Stegostoma tigrinum: one gene and its partner. The protein of the gene in region 1 purifies or fractionates together with the protein of each later gene. This does not show direct contact. Links are inferred from orthologs where the notes say so. Each region holds a gene or a part of one and is shown on either strand. Other genes may lie near its edges. The genes, in order: usp10 and sirt6.

What was found.
Region 2: the proteins of usp10 (region 1) and sirt6 purify together in Homo sapiens (affinity purification with western blotting; 4 studies listed by BioGRID, with this or other methods). This does not show direct contact. The link is inferred for Stegostoma tigrinum from reciprocal best matches to the Homo sapiens genes USP10 and SIRT6.

What each region holds. Positions count from the first base shown.
Region 1 is NC_081369.1:49,063,724-49,073,952, forward strand, and holds the start of usp10 (ubiquitin carboxyl-terminal hydrolase 10), read left to right. Parts: upstream 1-5,772; 5' UTR 5,773-5,863; coding exon 5,864-5,884; intron 5,885-10,229. UniProt on the Homo sapiens protein: Hydrolase that can remove conjugated ubiquitin from target proteins such as p53/TP53, RPS2/us5, RPS3/us3, RPS10/eS10, BECN1, SNX3 and CFTR.
Region 2 is NC_081383.1:37,837,158-37,847,373, reverse strand, and holds the start of sirt6 (NAD-dependent protein deacetylase sirtuin-6), read left to right. Parts: upstream 1-5,839; 5' UTR 5,840-5,896; coding exon 5,897-5,962; intron 5,963-10,216. UniProt on the Homo sapiens protein: NAD-dependent protein deacetylase, deacylase and mono-ADP-ribosyltransferase that plays an essential role in DNA damage repair, telomere maintenance, metabolic homeostasis, inflammation, tumorigenesis and aging.

The DNA of each region.
Region 1 (10,229 bases):
TGGTTATATATTTGGCCATTAAAGGTAAAGTGGGTAGTGAGGCATAGGTGCGGTAGTTCCAGCAAGTTGTCTGTGGAGATGGTGTCACTCAGGTGTTGTTCTTGTCTTCGTGGTGTTGCTAGTGTTTCTCTTAGTATGTCTATTGATGTGAATAGGGCAGTAACGTCAAAAGATACCATGGTCTCATTGTTGTCTATTCTGATGTCCTTGATGGAATTGGGGGACTCTTGGGCGGAGTGGATTGCTTGGGGTGACTTGCTGACAAGGTGCTTTAGTCTCCTTTGTAACTCTTTGGCTAGTCTATGTGACGGCATGCCTGGCAGGAAGACTATTAGTCTGAGGGGTACTTCCGGTTTGTATGCCCTTGGGAGGCCGTAGAATCGGGGAGTGTTAGTTCCCTCAGGTTTCATTCTTAGATGGCTTTTACATTGCGATAAGAATGGGGGAAAAAATGAGGAACGACGTTGCAGACTGTCAAGAAAAAATAAATATGTAGTTTAATGGTGATGATACATTTGTGGACTTTAAAGAGGAAGGGGAAGTTGGAGGTGAGGATTGTCAAAGGAGATGGAAAGGTTCACAATTGGCTGCTTTAAGAAAAGAAGTGCAGTGTATGTTTAGTCTGAAAGTGGTGACAAGTTAAAACAAGCACTTCCCAAAAAATAGGATTCAGGCCTAGTAATATGTATTTGCCTTTTGTTAATACTTTTCAAATCCTCTGGAAATGTCAACTGCTTAACAACCTACATATTACTCTTATTTTGCATTCCCTGTCAGATTGGAATCTGATTGGATTGTAAGTAAGGTTTAATCATGCAGTAACTGTGATCACATAACATAACAGCTATTGGCATGAGTTTGGCCTAAAGTGTGAAAATGTTATTAAATTGATCGTTATAAAGTTTGGACCTAGTTTGGCTGAGCATTTTCCCTGTCTTTTATGGTCAGCTGCTGTTATGTGAGTAGCTCCAAGAAAGTGAAAGCCAGCCATAAATAGAGGGTATCCTGGCTCAAACCACAAATGAGAGTTGTGAACCCTGCAGTCTTTCTTTCCAGGTTACTAGCAGCAATATTTGAGAGATTAACCTTGGTGCATTCATGACCTATCTTTGGGAAAGCATCTAGGACCAGAGGACATAATGTCAGAGTAAGGAGTTCCCCAGTTAGGAAACAAAGACAGAACTTCTATCGATGGGTAGTGGATGTCTAGAATTCTTTTTCGCAGAGGGCAATTGAGGCTAAGTATATTCAATGCTGTCATTGTGGATACAAAATCCTACTTTCACTTTGAGAATAACTACCATTGTGTTGTGTGGCACTATCACTGTGCTAAATGGGACAGATTTTGCACAGATGTAGAGCAACTCAAGACTGGGCATCCATGAGGCACTGTGGGCCATCAACAGCGGCAGAACTGTACCGCATCAAAATTTGTAACCTCATGGCATGGCATATGTCCCATTCAACCATTACCATCAAGCCAGGGGATCAACCCTGAGTCAACAGAGAGTCAAGGACGGTATACCAGGAGCAGAACCAGGCGTACCTAAAGATGAAATGTAAACCTGGGGAAGCCAACAGACAGGACTACTTGCATGCCAAACAGCATAAGCATCAAATGATAGACAGCGCTAAGTGATTCCACAGCTAATGGATTATATCTAAGCTCTGTAATCCTACAACTGTGAATAGCGGTAGAGAATTAAATAACTCACTAGAGGAGTTGACTCCACAAGTATCCCCATCCTCATTGGTGGAAGAGCACAGCACATCAGTGCAAAACATAAGGCTGAAGCTTTCACAGCAATCTTAAGCCAGAAGTGCCGAGTGGATGATCTCTGTCAGCCTCCTCCAGTGGTCCCCAGCATTTCAGACGTCAGGCTTTAGCCAATTCGATTGACTCCACCTGATAGTCAAGAAATGGTTGGAGACACTGGATACTGTAAAGGTTTACAAGCCCTGAAAACATTCCAGCAATAGTACTGAAGACTTGTGCTCTAGAGCTTGCCGCTCCCCTAGCCAAGTTGTTGCAATACAGTTACAACACAGGTATCTACCCGACAATGTGGAAAATTGCCCAAGTGCATCCTGTGCATAAAAAGCAGGACAAATCCAACCCTACCAGTTACTGCGCCATCAGTCTCCTCTCAATCATCAGTAAAGTGATGGATGGTGTCATCAACAGTGCTAGCAAGTAGCACCTGCTCAGCTATAATCTTTCCAGTTTGGGTTTGGCCAGGGCCACTCAGCTCCTGACCTTGTTACAGCTTTGGTTCAAACATGGAAAGAAGCACTGAATTCCAGAGATGAGGAGAGTTTTAAAGCCCTTGACATCAAGGTTGTATTTGATCAAGTGTGGCATCAAGGACCCCTAGCAAAACTGGAATCACTGGGAATTTAGGCCAAACTCTCCACTTGTTAGAGTTATACCTGACACATAGTAAGATAGTCATGGTCGTTGAGGTCAGTCATCTCAGTACCAGGACATCTCTGCAAGAGTTCCTCAGGGTAGTGTCCTAGGCCCAACCATCTTCAGCTGCTTCATCAATGACCTTGTCTCTATCATAATGTCAGAAGTGGGGATTTTTGCTGATGATTGCACAGTTCAGCACCATTTCAGACTCCTCAGATACTGAAGCAGTCCATGTTCACATGCAACAAGATCTTGACAATATCCAGGTTTGAGCTGACAAGTGGCAAGTAACATTCGTGCCACAAAAATGCCAGTCTATGGGCTTCACCAATAAGAGACAATCTGTTCACCTCCTTTGACATTCAGTGTGTTACCGTTACTGAATTCCCCATGTCACATCCTGGGGGTTATCATTGACCAGAAACTCAACTGGACTCACCATGTGAATACAGTGGCTACAAGAACAGGTCAGAGGCTTGGAATACTGTGACAATGTACACACCTCCTCATTCCCCCAAACCCTGTCACTATCTAAAGGCACAAGTCAGGAGTATGATGGTAAATGCCCCACTTGCCTGGATGATTGCAGCCCCAACAATACACAAGGAGCTTGACATCATCCAGGACAAGGCAGCCTGCTTAATTAGCACTATATCCGCAAGCTTACAGTTCCTCTACCATTGACACTCAATAGCAGAAGTGTGTACTATTTACAGAAACTCACCACATAGCGTCAGGTACACACGTTCTAAACCCATGACCATTTCCATCTAGAAGGACAAGAGCAGCAGATATATCAGAACCACCACCTTTAATTTCCTCACTAAACCACTCACCACTCTGACCTGGAAATATATCGCTGTTCCTTAACTTTTGATGGAATTCCCTCCCTAATGACATTATGTCAACCCACAGTGGTTGGATGGCAGCTCACCACCACCTTTTTAAGAGCAACTATCTCTGTAGTAGTTGATAGGTTATTTTAGGTTGGGGAAAGATTTGTAGAAAAAGGTCTCCTGCGTCAGGGTCGGGATCCATGCTGAAATAAATTATTGATCTAGACCCCACTGTGCAGAGGTAGATAGATTTTGCAGAGCACAATTCCAAAACAAATTACACAAAACTTGGAAATATTGTAAACTATGAAGAAGATGGAGTAGAACTTCAAAAGGAAATAAATAGTGGATTGGGCAGACAGGTGGCACATGAAGCTCAATGAAAAGAAGCACAAAGTGTCTCAGTTTGACAGGAAAAAAATGGAGATGATATGATATAAAAAGGTACCATCCTAAAAGGGTGCATGTGTAGTTGATATGATTGAAGGTGGCAGGATAGTACTAAAGAATGATTAATATATCTATGAAGTATCATAGACTTTATTAGCATGGTCATAGAGTGTGAGAGCAAGGAGTACATTCAATTATTTGAACAAGCCATAGGCCCCTCAAGCATGCTTTGCCATTTAATACCTGATTTGATATTAATTTTTATACACAAATGTAAAGCACTGATTTGGCCTTAACTGTCCAGTTCTGGATTCTACACGTCGGCCAAAAACAAAGGCATTTGAGATTGTGCAGAAAAATAATTCATAAGGTTGGTTTCAGCAACTTTAAGTTCCGAAGCAGATTGGAGATGCCCCGTCAGTTTTTCTTGGAGAAAGGAAGCCTAAGAGTAGTTTTTTTTTTGGATTAATTTGTGGGACGTGGGCATCACTGTCTGGCCAGCATTTATTGCCTGCTCTTCTGATGCTGCTTGGCCTGCTGTGTTCATCTAGCTCTACACCTTGTTTTCTCTATCAATTACTACTCTTGGTTTCGTGTCAGTCAGCCAATTTTGTACCTGTGTTTTAGTATCCATTTATTCAATGGGCTATGACCTTGTCCACAAGTCTATTGTGCAGCATTTTATCAAAGACTTTTAGCATGTCACTCATTAACTCTGTCTGTCATCTCTTCAAAGAATACAGCAAATTTATTGAACACATTCAGTGAACAATTCTGTCCGAGATTCCTTCATTACTCACATTTGTCCAAATTATTGGTTATTTTGATAGCATGACAGATTCGTGCTATCAAGTGGTAATGTTGTGGAGGTGCAGTTTTTCTGAAAAGACATCAAATTAAGGCTCTCAGATAACATGGTGTAGAGCTGGATGAACACAGCAGGCCAAACAGCATCAGCGGAGCAGGAAGGCTGATGTTTCAGGCCTTGACTGTTCTTCAGAAAACGTCTGCTTGCATGGTTGTATGTAAAGGTCCCGGAAGCAGTATTTCAAACTGAAGTATCTTAGAATAAAAGATTCTGAAGAAGAGTCAGTTCAGATTTGAAGCAGTAACCCTGTCTCTACAGACGCCGTCAGACCTGCTGTTTCTTGCACGTTTCAGTGGCGATATATATTCTAATGACCCAGTTCAGGGATGTTATTACACACATGTGGTGCAGGAGGATTTGAACTCAGGGCTACTGGACCAGAGGTATGATATGAAGGTGCTAGTGTTGGACTGGGGTGGACAAGGCCAGAAGTCACATGACACCAGGTTACAGTCCAAGTTTATTTGAAATCACTAACTTTCAGAGCAAAACCCCTCAGGTGAACTAAAGACTTCTGATTTGGACCACAGGTACGAATGCTACTACTGTGTCCCAACAGCCCTTCTTATGTTTCAGCATAAATATTCATTCCTGAAACAACATCACAAAATATATATTCGCGAGTTATTATCTCGCTGTTAGTTTTGAGGTTGATGAGCACAAATTGGTTTGTCACTTTCACTAAATTGGAACCCTGGCCGACACCTGAAAACTCATGAGTTTCAAAATGACCTGAAAACAATCCGTCCTGAACTAAAATCGAATTATTGCACACCTCAACGAAGATCAGAAGCAAAATCCAAAATAAAACTAGACACCACTTGAAAATTGAATTGCTCTTTTAAACAGAAAACTATTAGGCGGCATTTCCTCCACCCTTGTTGCAAGCTGACCAATAGGCACGGAGAAAAGATCAAGTGGGGTTGGTTATAGCCAATCGTTGAGCAAGGGGTTCGCCGGCCGCGCGCGATTTGTCCAATCAGGAGGCCACTATTCGCCTGACTGGTAAGCCATTGGCTGGACGGCGGCATCCGCGAGCGGACCAACAGGACGGCGAATACGAAGCTAGTAGACCAATAGGAGAGCGTGAAGGTGGCAGACCAATGGAAGAATATCGTTGCTGCCGACGGACCAATGGAGAAGGAGACGCGGGTCATAGGGACGAATGGGGGAAAGCTGAACAGTCAGACCAATAGGAGAGCGCAGAGGTGTTGGACCAATGGGAGGGCAACGGTTGGGGGCGGGTGTCTCGGGGAGGTGCCAGGGACACGGGCGCGCAGGCGCACGGCCTCTGGCGGAGCAGACAACATGGCGGCAAACGGGGAAGCATGAGTTATCTCATTCAAAAGCAGCAAAATGGCTAGCAACAATATAAAGGTGAGGAAAGTCGGGGATGGCAGGGCAGCGGCGGACGAGCATCGGGGACTGGGCGGAGAATGAAGCGACCTTGCGGTTGAGGGGGATTTAAGATGAGAGATTTCGTTCCCTGTCGAGGATGAGGCGGTGGTAGCGCGGGGGGAGGGTGGGGGGAGGCGGAGAAGGCAAGAGAATCCATGAGGTTTAGGCCCCAGGGTATTTTCCTCAGCCTGACTACTTGCGGTCGCAGAGTTTTAGCCCAGGGCCCCACACGATGCTATCAGGTTGTCGACTACCCGAAGGATATATCTCGTTAATGAGACACGCCCGCCCTGGTGCCTCACGTTTCGCTTTGCCTGGATCTGAAATGCGCCGCGGCCCTGTTACAGGCCATCTTCCATAGTTCGGCTGCATTCCAAATTGTTCGGTTCAGCAAGAAAACATTAAAAGAGATGAGCGGTGGGGGAGGGGCGCATGATGATTCATTCCACCTTGGACTCTGTGTCCCCTGCAGTTAACCTGGAAGGGATTCTCTTGGACGGCAGGGTATATCCTTGAGTTTTATCACAGCAAATTGGGTGGAAAAATGCTTCAAGATCCACTTGTGAACATGTACTTTTATCAGTCGGGAATGGTGGAAGTGGATTCTGACCATTTTATTTTGGGGGTGGGGGTGCCCCTGTTTTGCACGTGTTCTGAACGAAATCCCTTGGTTTCTGCCTATGCTACAGTATACACATCACACCTTAGATTTTAGTCTCACTAATTATATAGTTCAACCTGTATGCCTGATCAAACTTGTGGCACACTTTAACATCTAGAAAGTTTTGTAACGGCGTTGAGTGGGATTTGAACAGTTCATCTTGGTTTATTCAAATAAATCACACGTGTGGATAAGCTGCCAATTATGTTGTAATGTTTAACATAAAATCTGACGAGCATTTTCTTTCTTTGTATGTCATTATTAGAACAATGAGTCTACAAATTTAACTTAAATTTTAAAAAGCCCTTAAATTCAGAATTGTCAGCTGAATTACCAAAATCATGAGTGCAGAAACAATTTACTGAACATATTAAATGTTGCAAACATAGATTTTGGTGTTTTGCTTTCAACTGTACTTTTAAAAGTTGCTTGCTTTATGAAGCTTTTTGGTATTTGAACTTTTTAGCTGCTTGCACTTTGGACTGCTTTCTGGCTGTTAAATTTTAAGTTTTAGTTATTCGTACAGAACATTTCAAAAAAATTTAGTCGGGTGAGCTGGGTAGTTGTCGGGAGCTGATACATATTGGATCAAATAACCTCCCTCTGTACAATAAATTTCTGTAATTCTAAAAAAGTCATGCTGAATTTTTGGAGAAAATTTAGAACTGAAATTCATCAGTGCGAATATGCATACTGTTTGATCTTTTGCTGTGCCATTTGGTCATTCCAATTCTCTGTATACACCAAGATTTTGCTCTGGGCTAATATCTTTGTGCGTTCGGCCACATGGTGTAAAGGGGTGACCAAAAGCCAATGAGACCAACACACAGGAGGGGTGGGGGGATAAAAAGCCACAATCTGACACAGCTGACTTCACCCATCTGTAGGTGAAGAAAGGAGGGTGCTGGTAAACCCAAACATGAGAATGGGGTGTTGTCGAGCCTATGGCTTCACAAGAGCGTGCCCAAGTCAAGGAAGAATATCTGCAGGCAAAGACATTATTGCATCAAACAGTATGGACCACCACCTTAAATAGCTGCCATGGATAGTTCGATCAGTATGACAGCTCATTCTGCCAGGAACTGCACGGTTTTGAATTGGTCTTGATAGATTAATTTATAATGTCTGCTTTATGAACAAATCCATTGGTTGAAAAGGACTCTATTTTGGCTCTTGTTTGAATTTAAAGCACTTACAAATAGTTCAACACAAATAAATAAATTCTAACCAGTCTGGATTTTTAGCTGTAAGGGGACGGGCTGAAATGAGAGAGCTGATAATTATTAGCCTGAAGATCTCACTAATCATTCCCACTACTTATTAATTTCAGTTGTTAGTTATGATTGAACTTACGCATGCAAAATTAATAGTTGAAGATTGGACGTGTCTGTTTGGAGTTTCATCTCTAATATGGTATCAATGATTTTTTGCAATTTTAAAAATACTTTTTTCCAAATATTATTTATTAAAAGTTATTTTCAATTTTAAATGAATTTACTTCATCCAGTTTTGTTTTCATGCAGAAACTGCAGTGCCCAATGAAAATTGACAATCCATAGAAGGGGGACTTTCAAAATCACCTGTACAACACCTAAATATTGCATTTATGCAGCACCTAAAGTGCCATGAGAAATTTCTGCTTACGTTTGTCTTACATAGATTTGTCTTAGATCATTATTGAAAATTATTGCTGTTGCAGCAAACAGTTGTACTTGCAGGCTACATTGTTCAAAACTGAAATTAATTGTAAGGTCTAATTTTGAATATGTATGGCTTTTTTAACGAAAAACTATTTTTATGACACATGCTTTCTAGATTGTTGCCACTGTTTTTGGTTTCTTACTATTTTAACAATCAGCAGATAAATTGACATTACAGATCTACCCTAGATTATAGTATTTGGTACAGATGAAATGACAGTCCCTCCAATTTAAAACTTCTGGCGCAAATGTATATAGGAAGCATATGTATAAACGTGAAGCTGACGACAATTCTGGTATCCAAATGCACAGTTAGTGTGATTATCCAGCAGTTTTTGTCACTGATTCCCTGCTCTTCTATTCTGGCAGATTGCAATTTTTAGAAGCCAGTTGAACAGATATAAAGTTTCTTTTCTGTGCAGTAATATTGTTATTTTTAAAAATCATTCAGTGAAATATGCTTGAGTTTTTAACAGATGACCAAGTCATCATTACTTCTGGATACCTCCTTTCATCCTTGAAAAAACCAAGCTTGTTTGTGAAAGGTCAAATTTCTACATGATAAGTATTGGTTTTGAGTGTTTTAAATCTGCCTTAACTTCTTGCTGACTCTGCATACATCAACGTACTCATTCTGTATGTACCAATCACATATAACATTCTTCAATATGACTGGCTGATTAGTTTGACATCACAGTTGCTAAACTTGCAACCTCTTAGAGTTGGCCCCAGAATGACAGTGACTCCACACAAGGGAGTCACTGCTTCAAGGATAGCGATGGCAGCTGTCATTTCAGCACTGCTTGTTAACTCTGGCTGTAGAATCAGACAGAAGTAGCTACTTGACCTAATTGTCTGAGCGAGCTTCTTGGTAGAATTCTAAAAGTATTTAACCAATTCCCTTTGAAAATTTCAATTTCTACCACCCTGTCTGACTCACAAATAACCTGATATATCATGTAATTGTAAATCTCAGTGCCCTGTTTAGTCACTCTTCTGCCAATGGAATACTTATCCTTTATTTGTAATTAAAAACTGTTAAATGATTTTAAAAACCTGTATCAGATTGCCCCTTAGCCTCCTCTGACGACAAATTGTCTTTTCATGTAACTGAAGATTTTTAAAGTTTCCCCTTTCCTCGCACCCTCCACACAAAATATTTAATCATTTTAGTAAATCTTGTTTTCACACTTTGAGATGACATTCTTTCTGAAGTATCATCCGTAATGAATTATTATGAATGTTTAGTACAGCCTTACCTGTGTGCTCTTCCTCAATTGATAATACCAGCGAGCTCATGCATTTTTAACACTTTATGAACTTATTTTCACTTATACACCTGTCCCTGTGTCTCACCCTTTTTGCAACCTTAAGTTGGTTAATGTAATATATTGATTGTGTTCATTCTTCCTAATGAATTGTATTATTTCACACTTCTCTGCTAAATTCTGTTTGATGTACATCCATCTAATTCACCAGTCTGTTTTCCTGAAATCTGTTTCTAACCTCCTCATATACTGTTTCATTCCATCATTGAACCACTTTGAAATGCAGTCCATTTAATTCCAGAACATTGCTTTTGTTTCAGTTGAGCAGCGGCCCTAAAACCGAACTGTAGCAAGCACCACTGTATGCATTCCTGTAGTCTGGAAAATGATTGTTTATTGCTAGTCCATATCGTCCCCTAGCCAATTTTGTATTCAGAATACCACTGTCCTATTAATACCAGATAATTCAATATTGCTTACAAGTTTATATACAGTAATTTGTGAACAACTACACACTCTGTTGCAAGATCTTGCTTCATGTTGTGCTTCGGGACATCGTTATCAACTTCTGTCAAACTTTCCTGTTCAATTTTGTAATTTTAAGTATCTCACTCAACTTTTAGGTTCTGACCAAGTGGTGTTATTCGAGTGCAGTTGAAGGTTTCTAATTCTTTCCATTACCAATGTATTACTTT
Region 2 (10,216 bases), on another chromosome or scaffold:
GAAAGCCTAACCCTGCTTCAGTCTCTACAGATGCTGCCAGACCTGCTGAGTTTTTCCTGCATTTTCTGTTAATGTTGCTGATTTCCAGCATCTGCAGGTCTTTGTTTTATTTCAGTGACGCTCGAGGTTGGGAGAAGGGAGGGGAGAGTGTGTGAGCAAAGATGCTGCAGGGAATAGTGAGAATGGTGGAGCATGAGCCTTGCTGGGAGCTCAGTGCAGTCACAGAAAGATTGTGAAAGGTCACACAGAGCAGATGGGGGCAATTATCCTGGCTCCTCTGAAGAGTTGATTGACCTTCTTGCTGCATTGCTGGACTGTAAACATTGCACTGACCTAGGTGGCAACCTTGAACCAGGCTGGCAAGGTCTGGTGTCATGGCCTCTTCTGCTGGTCCTGGGTGAACAGGAAATCCAACCTCTGCACCACATTTGGCGGCACGGTGGATCAGTGGCTAGCACTGCAGCCTCACAGCGCCAGGGACCTGGGTTCAATTCCAGACTCGGGTAACTGTCTGTGCGGAGTTTGCACATTCTCCCCGTGTCTGCGTGGGTTTTCTCAGGGTGCTCCAGTTTCCTCCCACAGTCCAAAGATGTGCAGGCTAGGTGGATTGGCCGTGCTAAATTGCCTGTAGTGTTCATGGGTGTGTGGGTTATAGGAGGATGGGTCTGGGTGGGATGCCCCAAGAGGCAGTGTGGACTTGTTGGGCCAAAGGGCACGTTTCCACACTGTAGGGAATATAATCTAATCCTCATTGTCCATTGGGACTTCCAGGTTTCTGTCTACAAAGCAGGGTGCTAGTTTCCCCTTGACTGCCAAGTACAGAGCATGTACATGGTCTTCAACCATGCAGGGCAGCTCTGAACTGCCAAAGTTTGATTGGGTTCACAACAGCCTTTCAAATAGGCACTGGTGCCAGAGATGCCAGGGAATTCTGGTATCAGTGAGTTCTTCCAGCAACATCAAGTGAGAAAGGCAGGCTACTATTGGACAATAGCAGCAGCTTAGGGGCTTGGTTAGGGTTAGGCAAATAACGCGTCATACTTGGGACACGTGCATGGGAAATTTCAGTCGACGCAATGGAGAGAAATGCTCCATGAAAGTCATTGAAAATGACAGTCAACATATGGAAAGATTCAGCCCAAAGTTAACGTTGACAAAAGTCTAACCCTAACTTTCTCTCCGCATAAATGATGATACCTGCTGTGAAGCTCCAGTACTTTCTATTTTTATTTCATATCTCCAACATAACACAGTACTTTGCTTTCAGCCAAATGGGACTAGATTAAGATATCTGATCAGATATCTGGAAGATTTAAACTGAAAAGGGTCTGTTTCTGTGCTATACAATTCTCCGTCTCTGTTAGCTCCTCCCACGGACTGTCACTTGGAGAATCAGTGGGCAATCACACAGACATTCCTCAGTTAACCTCAACTTAGCCTTCTGACATTACTATCACCTTCACTAAACTTAAAGACACAACACATAGGGAAACATTAATTTATTAGACACTGCAGTATTTAAATAACAAAAGACAACACAAATTTAGTTGAAGTTTTTCAAAATAAGTGACACAGTTCTATAGGCAAGAAGCCATTAACCTAACAAACACATTCTGGAGACTGGAGAGGTCACACAATGAGTTTCCATCACAAGCTCGCAAAACTGGAATATTTCAACCAAGCAGTTTCAGTATCACAGATTTAAATTTAATAATTGACATGGTGTTCACTACAATACAGTCCTTGACAATCTTTTTCAGACAGTAACTCCTGTACATATCCAGCCTTGTCGTGGACACTTCATTCATTTGCAAATCATTCATTACCTCAGTGATTTCAAATTTCCCGGGCTCCCAGTTAGCTGTCTGTTCCTTTGTTGACAAGTTTGAAACTGTTCTTCTTTGCAGTCTCTCTCTCTCTGTTTTTACCCTTTCAGACTCACTCATTCTTGCCTGCCTACTTCTCCAGCTCCTCTCTTCCTCTTGCATCCCAATTAATTTCCATTTCTCACCCTCCACCAACCATCCACACTCCTGGCAGCATCTTTGTCCTAAGCACTTCTCACACTATAGCTTCTCCCTCCCATCTCACTTTCAGCCTGCAGGCTCCTCAGCTCTTTCCAGCCCCTTTGGACTACTGCATCTATCCCCATTGTCTCTGCCGACCTCTCCCCAATTACCTGACCTATAGAGATCTCCCCCTCCACACATTGTCCGTCACCTCCCAAACTCCTTTCTCACAGCAACTTGGAATTTTTAAACGCAGATTCATCCACACTCCTGTGTGTTTCGAGCATGTTATAAATTCCAGTCAACACACTTTATGACAGGTGCCAAGTCCGAGGAGAGGTTACAGGAGGGATTTAAGAGAATGGTACCAGGAATAAGGAGCTTCAATTTAATGAAGAGGAGTGGGGTTAATTAATTCAGAGGTGATGATCTGAATGTCTCCTTGCATTCTGCCCCTCTCCTCAGCTCCCCTCAGACCATTCCCTGCCAGTTCATCCCCTACATCGCACTCTCTGTCCATTCTCCCTCGTCAGCCTCCCTCCAGGCCTCCCCAGACCTCTCACCACAGCCCTTCCACTTTCTCTCCATTCCCCTGCCCTCAGACCCATTTCCTCTCTATTCCCACCTCCACTTTCCCCAGCTTCCCGTCTCCTTACTCAGCATCCCCTTCCTCAGACCCTCCCCGGCATTGTACGCCCCCAACTCCGACCCTCCCCAGCATTGCAACGCCCCTCCCCCAACCGTCCCCTAACCCTGCCCACACTGCACCCCCCGTCCCTGACCCTTCCCCTCACTGAGCTCCCCACACCGACCTCCCCAGCATTGCAACCCCCCTCCCCCAACCGTTCTCTGCACTGTGCTCCCATGACTCTCCCCTGCATTACACCTCCCTCCCCAATATTCCCCCACACTGCATCTTCCCCCTCCCTCGATATTCACCAGCATGATCCAGTTCTGCCCCCCTCGACCTTCTCTAGCATTTGTTACCCCCAACCCGACCTTCCCCAACATTGTTCCTCTGCCACGGATCTTCCCCAGCATTGTTCCCCGACCTTCCCCAGCATTGTTCCGCCACCATGAATCTTCCCCAGCATTGTTTCCCCACCATCCAATCTTCCCCGGCATTGTTCGCGCAACATGAACCTTCCCCAGCATGATTACCCACCACCCGACCTTCCCCAGCACTGTTACCCTACCCAACCTTCCTCAGCATTGTTCCCCCACCAAGGACCTTCCCCAGCATTGTTTCCCCACCATGGATCTTCCCCAGCATTGTTACCCCCCCACCCAACCTTCCTCAGCATTGTTCCCCCACCAAGGACCTTCCCCAGCATTGTTCCCCCTCCACCCGACCTTCCCCAGCATTGTTCCCCCTCCACCCGACCTTCCCCAGCATTGTTCCCCCAACACGGACCTTCCCCAGCATTGTTACCCCTCCACCCGACCTTCCCCAGCATTGTTCCCCCAACACGGACCTTCCCCAGCATTGTTACCCCTCCACCCGACCTTCCCCAGCATTGTTCCCCCAACACGGACCTTCCCCAGCATTGATCCCCCAACATGGACCTTCCCAAGCATTGTTCCAACCCCACCTTCCGTAGCATTATGCCCCCCACCCAATCTTCCACAGCATTGGCCTCCACCGACCTTCCTCAGCATTGTTCCCCTCCTCGACCCTCCCCAGCATTGCTCCCCTCAGTTCCGTTGCACCCCCGCTTCCCCAGCACTGTTGACCCCCAGCCTCGTTCACCCCCTGCCCCCCCCCCCAGCCTCGTTCACCCCCTGCCCCCCCCCCCAGCCTCGTTCACCCCCTGCCCCCCCCCCCAGCCTCGTTCACCCCCTGCCCCCCCCCCAGCCTCGTTCACCCCCTGCCCTGCCCCGCCCCCCAGCCTCGTTCACCCCCTGCCCCCCCCCCAGCCTCGTTCACCCCCTGCCCCCCCCCCCAGCCTCGTTCACCCCCTGCCCCCCCCCCCCAGCCTCGTTCACCCCCCAGCCTCGTTCACCCCCTGCCCCCCCCCCCCAGCCTCGTTCACCCCACCCAATCTTCCACAGCATTGGCCTCCACCGACCTTCCTCAGCATTGTTCCCCTCCTCGACCCTCCCCAGCATTGCTCCCCTCAGTTCCGTTGCACCCCCGCTTCCCCAGCACTGTTGACCCCCAGCCTCGTTCACCCCCTGCCCCCCCCCCCAGCCTCGTTCACCCCCTGCCCCCCCCCCCCCGCCTCGTTCACCCCCTGCCCCCCCCCCCCCCCCCGCCTCGTTCACCCCCTGCCCCCCCCCCCCCCCCCCGCCTCGTTCACCCCCTGCCCCCCCCCCCCCCGCCTCGTTCACCCCCTGCCCCCCCCCCCGCCTCGTTCACCCCCTGCCCCCCCCCCCCCCGCCTCGTTCACCCCCTGCCCCCCCCCCCGCCTCGTTCACCCCCTGCCCCCCCCCCCCGCCTCGTTCACCCCCTGCCCCGTTCACCCCCTGCCCCCCCCCCCCGCCTCGTTCACCCCCTGCCCCCCCCCCCCCCCCCGCCTCGTTCACCCCCCCACCCCCCCCGCCTCGTTCACCCCCTGCCCCCCCCCCCCCCCCGCCTCGTTCACCCCCTGCCCCCCCCCCCCCCCCCGCCTCGTTCACCCCCTGCCCCCCCCCCCCCGCCTCGTTCACCCCCTGCCCCCCCCCCCGCCTCGTTCACACCCCCTGCCCCCCCCCCCCCCGCCTCGTTCACCCCCTGCCCCCCCCCCGCCTCGTTCACCCCCTGCCCCCCCCCCCCGCCTCGTTCACCCCCTGCCCCGTTCACCCCCTGCCCCCCCCCCCCCGCCTCGTTCACCCCCTGCCCCCCCCCCCCCCCCCGCCTCGTTCACCCCCTGCCCCCCCCCGCCTCGTTCACCCCCTGCCCCCCCCCCCCCCCCGCCTCGTTCACCCCCCTGCCCCCCCCCCCCCCCCCCCGCCTCGTTCACCCCCTGCCCCCCCCCCCCCCCCCCCCGCCTCGTTCACCCCCTGCCCCCCCCCCCCCCCCCCCGCCTCGTTCACCCCCTGCCCCCCCCCCCCCCCCCCCCGCCTCGTTCACCCCCTGCCCCCCCCCCCCCCCCCGCCTCGTTCACCCCCTGCCCCCCCCCCCCCCCCCCGCCTCGTTCACCCCCTGCCCCCCCCCCCCCCCCCCGCCTCGTTCACCCCCTGCCCCCCCCCCCCCCCCCCCCCCGCCTCGTTCACCCCCTGCCCCCCCCCCCCCGCCCCCCCCGCCTCGTTCACCCCCTGCCCCCCCCCCCCCCCCCCCCGCCTCGTTCACCCCCTGCCCCCCCCCCCCCCCCCCCCCGCCTCGTTCACCCCCTGCCCCCCCCCCCCCCCCCCCGCCTCGTTCACCCCCTGCCCCCCCCCGCCTCGTTCACCCCCTGCCCCCCCCCCAGCCTCGTTCACCCCCTGCCCCCCCCCCAGCCTCGTTCACCCCCTGCCCCCCCCCCAGCCTCGTTCACCCCCTGCCCCCCCCCCAGCCTCGTTCACCCCCTGCCCCCCCCCCAGCCTCGTTCACCCCCTGCCCCCCCCCCAGCCTCGTTCACCCCCTGCCCCCCCCCCAGCCTTGTTCACCCCCTGCCTTTTTCACTCCCCCAGCCTTGTGCACACGCGCATTGCTCCCCCTCATGACCTTCCCCAGCATTGCTTCCCTCCAGCACTGTCACCCCACCCCCAGCACTGTTCTCCTCTCGCTCTCGCACCCAGCACCATCCCCGTTTCTCTGTCCGGTCCCTCCTACTCCATGCCCATTCCGACCTGCGCCTCCCACCCGCCTCTCCTCCCCCGAAGCTACCTATCACCTGTTCTGTAGCGCCCTCTGGCCTCCGGGAGGTCCTGCCTGCACGGCCTGGTGACGTCACGCAGGCCCCTGCCCGGGTTGTTGTGCTGGAGCCATGTCCGTGAACTACGCGGCCGGACTGTCTGAGTACGAACACAAGGGCAAGTGTGGCCTTCCGGAGGTAAGAGGCTGTGCCGCTTAGATGTCGTTGCAGGGGGAAAAGGATTCCGGGCCTGTCCTTGGATAGGCTCGCATCCTGGGGAGGCGCCGGGGTCATGAGACCTCGGCGTCCAGCTCCGGACTGGGGCCTTCGTTAGAGACTGTTTGGCCGGGACCCCCAGAGGAACGGGAAGAGGAGGCGAAGATCAGTGAGGGAGGGCAGGCGGGGATGCGGGAGGGGGTGAAGGAGAAAAGGACCGAGGAGATTCCACTGTGTGGGGACCCTCTTAACGTTGGAGGCGGCCGTGGATTGGGAGAGGGAGGTTGCTAGTGATGGTGGACATCACAGATGTCCCTGTAAGGGTTTGGTTTCATTGCTTTATTAATCTGAAAGAGAACGATCTATGTTACATGGATATATATTCTGGAGTACCAAGAGATTAGCAAATGAAATTAGAGTATGTAGTATTGGGGATGGGTGGGAATAAAATAATTTGGATGGAAAATGGCTTAATAGAAGGCTGAAGAGTAAGCAGAGATAATGGGAACTACAGGTGCTGGAGAATCCAAGATAACAAAGTGTGGAGTTGGATGAACACAGCAGGCCAAGCATATTAAGCAGATGTTCACCTACACAACTGCCAACGTGGTATACTGTATCCACTGTACCCGGTGTGGCTACCTCTACATTGTGGAAACCAAGCGGAGTCTTGGGGACCGCTTTGCAGAACACCTCCGCTCAGTTCGCAATAAATAACTGCACCTCCCAGTTGCAAACCATTTTAACTCCCCCTCCCATTCCTCACACAAAATTTCCATCATGGGGCTCCTGCAGTGCCACAATGATGCCAACCGAAGTTTGCAGGAACAGCAACTCATATTCCGCTTGGGAACCCTGCAGCCGGATGGTATCAATGTTGACTTCACAAGCTTCAAAATCTCCCCCTCCCCGACTGCATCCCGAAACCAGCCCAGCTCGTCCCCTCCCCCCACTGCATCACAAAACCAGCCCAGCTCGTTCCCCGCCTCCCTAACCTGTTCTTCCTCTCACCTACCCCTCCTCTCACTTCAAGCCGCACCTCCATTTCCCATCTACCAATCTCATCCCACCTCCTTGACCTGTCTGTCCTTCCTGGACTGACCTATACCCTCCCCACCTATACTCTCCTCTCCACCTATCTTCTCCTCTATCCATCTTCAGTCTGCCTTCCTCCCCCCTCCCTATTTATTTCAGAACCCTCTCCCCATCCCCCTCTCTGATGAAGGGTCTAGGCCCGAAACGTCAGCTTTTGAGCTCCTAAGGTGCTGCTTGGTCTGCTGTGTTCATCCACACTTTGTTATTTGGATATGGGGACCAGTTTCAATGTTTCCAAATTTGCTCATGATGCTGAATGTAATGAAAATGTAAGTTGTGTGAAGCCTTCAAGGGAATTTCGACAATCTAAGCGAACATGCCAGATGGAATATAGTAGAACTTTATGAAAGTATTGAGTTTGATTGAAAAGCTGAAAGGCAGGATGATCATTATGTGATTGGGAAGGAGTGATCTAGGTATCTTTGGTTACTAAGAGCTAGCATGCTGGTGAAACAAGTATTTTAAAAGCAAATAGAATATTAGTCTTCATAACAAATAAACTTAAGGACAAAAGCAAAGTAAAACTAAAAGAACTGCAGATGCTGTAAATCAGGAACAAAAAGAGAAGTTGTTGGAAGCTCAGCAAGTCTAGCAGCATGTGTGAAGAAAAATGAGAGTCATCGTTTTGGGTCCAGTCTGAGGAAGGGCCACTGGACCCAAAACATTAACAATAGTAAAAATGTCTTCCTGCTATTTTATGGAGCCTTGGCATGTACACACCCTGGTTATTGTGTACAGTTCTGTTTGGCTTTTCTACGTAAAGTAAATCCTTCCTTAGATGTGCAATAGAGGTTAACCTGATTAATTGTTGCAATGGTGGGATTGTTTTATGAAGAGAGCCTGCAGAAACAGGATCTTTAGTCCCTAGAGTTTGAAGGGATGAGAGGTGATTTCTTTCAAATTCACAAAATAAATTACAGGGCACGGCATTGTTGCTATAGAGAGGATGCTCCCTCTGCCTGATGAGTCCAAAATCAGAGGATGTTATCTCAAATAGGGGGCAGGCCAAATAAGATTGAGATGAGGAGCACTTTTTTTTCCACTGACAATGTTGGATCTTTGGAATTCTCTTCCCCAGAGTCATTGAGCAGTTTAAAGCAGAAATCGATTTCTGAAAACTGGCATTGTGTGGAAAAGTAACACCTCTGTAGATAATTGGTCATGATTGAGTTGATTGGCAGAGCAGTCTTAGTTGACTGACTGATCTACTCCTGTTCCTCTGTCACATTTCACTTCTGCACTGCAGTTACATTGCAAAGTAACAATGTATTGGTCGCAGTCCGCTATGGAGAGCAGCAAAAAATGCACTCAGTGAAACACTAGTACTGATCTAAAGTGAGATTATTTTAATTTACTGGCACTGGAATGCATGACATGGTGGCAGTGGTTGTTTGTTAGTGAAAACTGAAATATTTTAAATGAATTTTGTGCTGAATTAATTGGAAGAAGAAGTCATCCTACATTTGTACCAGAGTGTGTGGAAAAACTAAATTGTTGTCAGAAAACGGAATGGCTGTAACAGCAACGATATGGGTGGCATTCAAACTTCAATTAAATGTGCCCCATTTGAAGATGCATCTGAGAAATTTGAACGAAAGTGCAGACTGATATTCAGCACCTCTCTAAAGGCACTAGCAAAAATGAAGGAACCTGCAGGCAGGAGAGAAAGGTTAAATTGTTTAATAGTTGAAGATTGAGGATGACAGCAGAAACCCCAACACAATTTTTTTTAGATTTGGCATGTATTTTTATCCGGAGTCAAAACATTGGATTTATCAGTGTGAATTTAAGGCCCGAGACAGAATCTGATGAGCATACTGACAATTTCCTAACAAAACTGAGGTAGGAGATAGGGATAGCCACAGGAGGCTCCTGCACTATCTCAAACAAGTATGCTGTTTTGGAAAATGTAAGCCGTGATGGACTTTCGAGGGAATGTAGCACTGACAACCAGGTTTCTGGTACTGTGACTGGCTGTAATGTAACAAGGGGTATGCCAGGTTCCAAACGATCAACTGTAACAGGACACGTCTCGTCAGAGGCACAGACAGACGATTCGGTGGCCAACAGCAAGACATCAAAATAGTATGTTGCCTCCCTGGAGCCAGGTTCAAAGATATCTCGGACAGGGTACAGAACGTTCTCCAATGGGAACAGGACTAGCTGGATGTCACTATACACTAACGACATAGGAAGAGAAAAGGATGAGATTTTGAGGAGAGAGTATAGGAGGTTAGGCAGGAATTTTAAAAAGTAGGCCCTTGAGGTTGGTAATTTCTAGATTATACTTGATGCCACAAGCTAATGAGTTTCGGAGTAGGATGTTACAGCAGATGAATGTGTGGCTGAGGAGCTGGTAAAGGGGAGAAGGATTCACATTTTTGGATCATTGGAATGTCTTTTGGGGTAGCAGTGACCTGTTTAAGAAGGATGGATTGCACCTAATTTAGAAGGAGAGATTGGCAGGGAGATTTGCTAGAGCTGCTCGGGAGGATTTGAACTAGTTGGTTGTGATGGGGAGGGACTCGGAGATAATGAGGAAAGAGATCAGTCTGAGACTCTAACAGTTATGAAAAGGAGTAAGTCAAACAGACAAGGCAGAGAGGAACAAAGTAGAGAATGAGGTAGGACTGATAAATTCAACTGCATTTTTCTCAATGCAAGAGGCTTAGCACGTAAGGCAGATTAATTCAGGGCATAGTTAGGAACATAAGACAGATATTATAGAAATTAGAGATGTGCCTCAGAGATGGACAGGATTGGCAGTTTAATGTTCCAAGGTATAGATGCTATAGGAACGATAGAAAGAGGGGGGAGGGGTGCAAGAGTGGAGAAGGTGTGGTATCTTTGATTAGGAATAACATCACAGCTGTATTTGGAGAGGATATTCCTGGGATGCGTCCAGGCAAGTTATTTTGGTGCAACTGAGAAATAAGAAAGTGATTATCGCCTTGTTGGGATTGTATTACAGGCCCCCCTAATAGTCAGCAGAAAATTGAGAAGCAAATTTGTGAGGGTACAGAATATTCTCCATAAGGGTAATTGAGGGGTTACGGTGTGGAATTTAACTTTCCAAGTATAGACTAGGACTGTCATAGTGTTAAGGGTTTGGATGGAGAGGAATTTAAGTGTGTACAAGAA